Linked DNA regions of Oryctolagus cuniculus. The protein of the gene in region 2 interacts with the protein of the main gene of each other region in a biochemical or structural test. Links are inferred from orthologs where the notes say so. Each region holds a gene or a part of one and is shown on either strand. Other genes may lie near its edges.

Region 1 (3,743 bases), on a different chromosome or scaffold from region 2:
ACGGGGGGGGGGGGGACTGAGGTTCCCGGGACAGAGTGGAGGATCGCGACCCGAACCTGCGTTAGTTACTCGGGCGGAGCAGCAGGTGCAGCCGGGCAGCAGTCGGCAGGACCCGCACACAGTGGCTGGGCCAGGCCTGCGGCCGTCACTTGGGCCCTGCCTGCACAAAGTACTTGTGACAGGCAGACGTGAGCGCAGCTACAAACACCACGAACTCGTTGAAGTCCACCTCGGCGTCCCCGTTGGCGTCCAGGTCCCTCATCATTTTGTCCACCGCATCCTTGTCCTTCCCGTTCTGGAAGAGAGGAGGGGCCGGCGATGCCGCCTCTGTGGCGCGGGGCCAGGAGAGGCGGTGCCCGCCCGCCCTAAGCTGTGAGAGGCCGTGCGCCGGCCGGTGCCCTTGTTCGCCGGAGCACGACTGCTGTGCCCAGAAGGGGACCCTCCGATTTCTGACGCGCTCTGCAGTGGTTTCCGGGAAGCGGTGCAGCTCCGCGCTCTGCGCACGGCTGCCTCGGGGGTGTGCGCTTGTGCCTGCAAACCCGTAATCCCCACAGCCACCAGGGAGGAGGATGCGCGGGACCTGACCCAGGTCACACGGGGAGAAGGGGACAGTGGGGTCGCGGCCCGGGTGAGGGGAGCACGCGGGTCCGGTTGTTGAAGAACAAGTGCACCATCGCCTGCAAGGGACCAGGTGCGCAGCAGCAGCAGCAGGGGGCGCCGCTGAGCTCAGCCGGCACCGGTCACAGCTGAACCCGGCGGAGGCCCAGCGTCTGCCCGACCCAGCCTGGGCACGAAGCGGCAGGCGGAGGCGGTAGCAGTGTGCCGCCCCCACCCCGTCCCGACGCTTCGTGGCTGTCAGCAGGGCTGTCCTTGACGTTCCTGGAGCTCAGTCCCCGCGCCTCTGTGCAGCTCCACCTCTGCTGGTGGCGCTGGGCTGCCCGCGGGAACAGGGCCCCCAGGCTCGTGAGCGCCCCTGGGCTGGACCCGGGGAGCAGGGCCCCCAGGCTCGTGAGCGCCCCTAGGCTGGACCCAGGGAGCAAGGCCCCAGGACTGAGCGCACAGCTTCCCGGCCGAGCCGTGGCCTTCTCTAGGCTCCCCAGGGGGCCCCGGTGCAAACCAAGTTTGAGAATTCCCTGGTTTTGCCTCGGTGCTCAAAGCGTGCCCCCACCCCCGCCCAAACCCGCAGTTACCCTCCCCCAGCCCCAATGTTTTGGATCAAAATCCCAGAGGGCTGGGATAGGCATCCCACAGGGGAAAACCTGGCGGCGGTACCTGGCTGAGCTCCCACTCCACCTGGATTAAGTTCCTGGCTCCTGGCTTTAGCCCAGCCCTAGCCATCGTGGGCATTTGGGGCGTGATCGCGCTCTCTCTCTTTCTCTCTCTCTCTCTCTCTCTCTCACACACACACACACACAAATACAAATCCTCACACTTGGTTTCTTAGTCCCAGCACAGGGTGAGTGCGCATGTTTACCCATCTGGAGAACAGAAACAATGCCCTAAGAGCCCAAGGTCACAAGCTAGGTCCCAAATCCAGGCTTCCACTGCATCAGCATCAGGACCCTCGGTGGCAGAGTCTGATGGGGCTGGGGGGGGGGGGAAGACGGAAGGGGAGGGCCCGGACTGTCTGCAACCTGCACATCCCATGTGGGCGCTGGTTCAATTCCCAGCTACTCCACTTCCCATCCAGCTCCCTGCTCATGTGCCTGGGAAAGCAGTGGAAGATGTCCTGAGTCCTTAGGCCCCTGCACCCGCATGGGAGACCCAGAGTTCCCGGCTCCTGGCTTTGGCCTGGCCCAGCTCCTGCCCTTGCAGCCATCTGGGGAGTGAACCAGCAAAGAGATTTCTGTCTTTGTGTCCCTCTGTTACTCCGCCTTTCAAGTAAATAAATGAGATGTGTGTGTGTGTGTGTGTGTGTGTAGGGGGAGGAGAGAATGGGGAGGCCAAGGAGGGCGGGGTCTCTGCTTGCACAGGACACTGGTCCCTCCAGGCCCTCCCCCAGCCCGACACCGAGCTACACGGCGACTGGGTGTGGCAGGGGCAGGGATGGCCCTGGCTTCCACTCTGCTCCCAGCCCCACTGCCCGTGTGTGGCTGTCCCTGTCCCTCTCCCTCCAGGCAAACCTGGGGTAGGGGCTTAACGCCAAGGATCCACCTGAATACCGCACTTAGGATCCCACCTACCTGCTCCCAAGCCCCTCAGCCCCTGCCGGGGTTTGGCTCCGCCCCTGCGGCCCCGCCTCACCTGCAGGAAGCCGGGGAGTTCCTTCTCCATCAGCACCCTGAGCTCCCCCTTGGTGAGGCTCTGCGGGTCGCCCTCGCCGCCCGCGTACCGGGCAAAGACGTCGATGATCATGCCCATGGCTGTCTCCAGCTCCGTCATGGTGCTGGGCTCCAGCCTCCTGCGGCTGCAGCTGCGGCTGCGGCTGCCAGTGCTTTTTGAAGCCGGCTCCTGCTGACACAAGGGGTGGGAAGCATCAACAGGCCCTGCCCCTCCCCACTGGGCAACCTCAGATGGTGATGTCCTCGTGCGCTCCAGGGCTGTCCTCCCCAGGTGGGGCTGCTGGGGCGGGTGGGAGCCCGGTGTTTACCGAGTGGGTAGTGACCGAATGGACCCGCCCTCGCCCGCGCAGGTGCTGCTGGGCAGACACAAGGAAGCACCAGTGGAAAGCGAGAGGTGGCAATGACAAAGTGACAGAGCCTGTGGGACGAGGCCAGGATGAGAGAGGGTTTACTAGAGGCACAGCTGCGGGGCTCAGAGCGGCGCTCGCGTCAGCCGGGGGCCGCGGGCTGCAGGTTCCTGGGAAAGGCCACAAGCACCCGTTCCTGTGGGCACACACCCTTGTGAGCCCTGTTATCTCAGCCTTTTATTGATAAGGGGTCAGTTTCTGCTCCGGCCACTTCCTGCTGGGGGCGGGGCTTGACGGGAGGGGTGAGCTGGTGCGGTGTTGCCATTCATTTCTCAACAGGTCAGAGGTATTCCATTGCTGTGGGCCATTTGAGTGGCTGACCAGAGCTAGTGGGGTACAAAACAGTAACGGATGTGGCTATGAGCAGTTCCTCAGGGTAGGATGATAGGGCAGGTGCGTCTGCTAACAAGGCGGAGTCTCGGTCTTGTGCAGCTGATTCTGATTGGCTGTCAGTTGCAGACTTGGTGTTTCTGGCTGGTACCCAAATGGGCTGTTCCGCATTTTCTGGAAAGACACAAGCATATCCTCGACCTTTGGTTAGCAGAAGCCTTTTTACAGGCGCTGGAGTCCAGGGCCTGGATTTTGCATACAGTTCAACGTGTGGGTGGCATAGGGTCTAGCAGCTGCCCTAAGAGCTTGGGGTGTCTGAGTACTGCCACAAATGTGGGGATCCTCACTGGGTGCGGATGGGATGACCTCACATGAGTTATTGTCTAGAGGGCCTCTTTGTTCATCCCACGGGTATGCGGGGGTGGCTGACTAGGCTTTGCTACCTTGTATGCTACATTGTTGTTTTCACTGTCCAGCTCTCTCTCCCTGAGTATCAACTGTTGTCTGTGAGACAGACGCCTGGAGTGTCAGGCTCTTATCACTCACAGATTCACTGTTTGGTAATCTGTGTGGGATTCTGAGAGGGGGGCATCTTTCCCATGTCTGAGCGCTTAAGAGCGGCACGGCACGCCAACTCCAGCCAAAGGAAAGACACGCACAGCACTGCTGCCATAACAAAGCAAATTCCTAGCACCTCAGCGGCTGATGGCATTTTGCAGGGGGT
Region 2 (3,643 bases):
AATGTTCACTTCCTGCTCGCGTTTGGACCTGGACGGGGAAAACCCCTCAGAGCGGAGGCCGAGACCCGGCAGCCCTTCCCGGCACAGCCCCCGTCTGCAGCTTCTCTCCCCACCGGCCCCCTGCTCGGCTACTACAGGCCCTTGTACAGGCTCAGAGCCCACCCTCGCTGCGCCCTCCAAAGCCACGCTCCCCGCAGATCTGCTAGGCAGAGGGCAACGGCCGAGGAAGGCCCGGCTCCGCGCTCTCTGGACGTGGTGAGCCGTGTGCAGCACTGCTCCGGGCCCCCCGCCCTCGTGGCCAGGCCAGGCGGCCCCAGGCCACACCTGAGCTCCTGCTGCGCAGCAGTGGAGTCCAGGGTGTCCTCCAACTCTGTCTTCAGCGCCTCCAGCTCCTCCCCGAGGTCCCGCTTCTGCTTCTCGGCCTTGTTCCTGGAGGCGCGCTCGGACTCCAGGTCCTCCTGGAGCTCGGAGATCTGAGATTCCAGCTCCCGGATCTTCTTGAGGGCCATGTTCTTCTGGGCAGCCTCTTCTTCCACTCTGCCAGAGAGACGCTGTCAGCCTGAGGCCGTGTCCCCTGCAGGGCTCCGCCCGCAGGAGAGGCCTTAGAGGGGCAGCGGGGCAGCCAGCGCTGTCTATGCAGGTACATCATGGCAGTTCAGTGGCTCTCAGCAGAAACATGAGGTATCCCAGACCCGGAACACCTCAGAGAAACCCCTTCACCTTCCAAATGACACACACACACACACACACACACACACACACAATGGGGCCAGCACTGTCCTGTGGTGCAGCAGGCTAAAGCCATGGCCTGCAGCACCAGTACCCCACAGGGGTGCTGGTTAGAGTCCTGGCTGCTCCAATCCTGACCCATTACTCCCTGCTAATGTTCCCGAGGGAGCAGAGGAAGATGACCCAGGTGCCTGGGCCTGTGTACCCGTGTGGGAGACCAGGAAGCAGCTCCTGGTGCTTGGCTCTGCCTGGCCCACCTCGGCCGTTGTGGCCATTAGGGAGTGAACCAGCAGATGGAAGACCTTTCTCTCTGCCTCTCCTTCTATGTCTGCCTGTCTCTCTCTCTCTCTCTTTCTCTGTTTAACGCTGGCTTTCAAGTAAATAAATTTTCAAAAAAATTAACTTTAAAATGTTACACGAAAAAGGAAATACTCTAAAAAGCTACAGTCCATCAGACGGCAACTAAGTGGCAGGCAATGAGCTGTGGGCTTTGCATGGTTTTGTCTCACTGAAGGTTCACCGAGTGTTGACATCGGCAGAGGCCGTGCGTGGGGGAGGCGGGCAGGGTTTAGATGGGAAGTCTGTATGTTCTGCTCAATCTTGCAATGAATCTAAAACTAGAAAAATCAAGTCTGCTTTTTTAAACAAATGTGTGCCTATAGCCAAGAATTTTTTTAAAAAGAAAGTATTGTGGGCGGGAGACAGAGCTGTGGGTGGTTCTGGATTACCAAGGAGAAAGCCGCCCAGCACCCCAGCACCCCAGCACCCCAGCCTGTGCCGCTGGTGCCTGAGAACTTCTGCAGCCGCAGCGGAGGGGACGCTCGCGCTCGCTGGCGCGGCGAGCCTGGGCAGGGCGTGCTCTGGCCGGCGGCCACGTGGGAGCCCGGGCCTCACCTGGCCAGCGCGGCCTGCAGCTCCTCCTCCTTCTTGGCCAGCTGCATCTTGAGCTCGGCGATCTGCGCCTGCAGCTCGGCGATCTGGTCGCTGAGGTCGGTGGAGTCTCCCTCCAGCTTCCGGCGCGTCTTCTCCAGCTCCTGCCGCTGCTTCTCCTCCCTGCGGAGGCGCTCTGGGGGTGGGGGTGGGGGGACCTCAGCGGCTGCAGCTCTTCTGTGTTCAACGACTTACACAGCCAGGGCCAGAGGCCTTCGCGACACACAGCCAGTCACACCTGACCCCTGGATGCGGGACAAGAGCGCTGCCACGTGCGGTCCGGTGCCTGCCGGGCCTGTCTGCTCTGCCCTGCGGGCACACCATAGCTTCCTTCTCCAGCCCACGGGGACAGGTGTGTGACTCTCAGTGCACAAGGCCGAGCGCCGGATGGCACTGCTGGGTCAGGGGCACGCAGCAGGTGGGGGGGGGGGGTGTGTTTCTGACTCATCTACAGCTTCCTTAACACTTGCTGGTGTCAAACGTCTGTCAACCTGGTGGTCCTGCCCTCCGGGACGCCTTGGAAGGCCAAGTCCTGCAGACTCCTCCCCGTCACACACACACACACACGAGGGGTTGGCAGGGCTGGGACACTAGGCTGGGGAGGACGCCGCCGGCCGGCAGCCCATATCCACCCCACGTTCACCAGCCGGGCGCGGGGCTCCTCCAGCTGTGTCAGGCTCTCTCCCTCCCCGAGCTGTCCACGCCTCTCAAGGGGCTGGGGGTCTCAGCCAGCCATAGGCCTTCTACCGAGGCCTCCTGACCGCCACAGTCCCCAGAACACAGGAAACGAGGCAGGGCCGGCGAGCCTGGCCCACATCCAACCACCATCTCCTGCGGTCTCCCCAGCAGCTCGAGTGCGGCACAGCGGGCGACACAAGGGTCTGCTCTGAACCACGATTCCTGGGAACCAGCCAGAGCAACCAGGTGCTGCCGCGTGCCCTGGCCATCTCGCGCCTCACGGCAGCAGCCGAGCGCTGGGTCACGGGAGCCAGGGCCCCCGGCAGGCGGCCCAGGCCACGCCCTCACCTTCCAGGTCTGTGATCATCGCCTCGTGCTTGTTCTTGAGCTTGGCCAGGCTCTTGGACTTCTCCTCCTCCTCCATGAGGTTGGTGGTGAACTCGGCTATCCTGTCTTCCAGCAGCTTCTTCTCCTGAGGGGCGGGGGCGGGCCAGGCTGAGCGGGAGCGCACAGGACGCCGCAGCCCTCCTCAGAGCGCAGCCGGCCCAGGAGCGCAGGAGCAGGCACAGGCGAGGCCTGGCTGCAGGAGCACGGGACCTGCCGCACGAAGCCACCAAGGCGCCCCGGCTCCGCAGGGGACAGATGCACAGTGCCACACGGAGGGCCTGACTCGTCTCAAAAGCCAGCGAAGAGCTCGACTGCGGGGCAACGGCGAAGCTCCCTGGGGCCGCTCATTCGGGGGAACCCCCCGTGTGGCTCCGGGAGGGGGCCGCCCGGGCAGCCACGCGCGCCTGGCCCACCTTGGCCAGCTTGCAGTTCTGGTCCTCCATGATGATCTGCTCCTCCTCCAGCTTCTTCAGCTTGGCCTCCGTGGTCACCTTCTCCAGCTGCAGCTTCTGCCGGGCGCTCTCCTCCTCCTCCAGCTGCTCCTCCAGTTCCTGCCGGGAGCCGGAGAGAGGGTGGGAACGGTGGCTCTGCGAGCCCGGCAGCTTGGCCGGGATGCAGCCCAGCCCTGCAGGAGGGGTCACGCATCTGAAGCTGGGGTGCCAGGCAAGACGCCCGCAGTACTGCTCTGGGGGTCCCCTTTAGCCAGCTTCCCACTGGGCAGAGCGTGGAGGACAGGGCTGCCGGCCCTCCACTCCCAGGTCCCAGAGCAAGGGCTGCAGGGAGGCAGAACGGCCTTTGCCATGCCGGGGAGGGCAGAGCGCAGGGAGAGCTGAGAGGCCCGGATGGAACAGCCAGCCCCTGGGGGAGGCCCGTCAGCTGTGCCCATGGGCAGCGCGGGCACGCAGACCCGGACTCCTGT

Evidence for each region.
Region 1: the proteins of MYH9 (region 2) and S100P interact in a biophysical measurement, tested with the Homo sapiens proteins (2 studies listed by IntAct). The link is inferred for Oryctolagus cuniculus from reciprocal best matches to the Homo sapiens genes MYH9 and S100P.

Annotation. Positions count from the first base shown.
Region 1 is NC_091433.1:3,378,863-3,382,605, forward strand, and holds the start of S100P (protein S100-P), read right to left. Parts: upstream 2,565-3,743; 5' UTR 2,383-2,564; coding exon 2,245-2,382; intron 296-2,244; coding exon 146-295; 3' UTR 1-145.
Region 2 is NC_091442.1:113,575,009-113,578,651, forward strand, and holds part of MYH9 (myosin-9), read right to left. Parts: intron 3,276-3,643; coding exon 3,138-3,275; intron 2,810-3,137; coding exon 2,686-2,809; intron 1,796-2,685; coding exon 1,624-1,795; intron 538-1,623; coding exon 325-537; intron 29-324; coding exon 1-28. UniProt on the Homo sapiens protein: Cellular myosin that appears to play a role in cytokinesis, cell shape, and specialized functions such as secretion and capping. Required for cortical actin clearance prior to oocyte exocytosis. Promotes cell motility in conjunction with S100A4.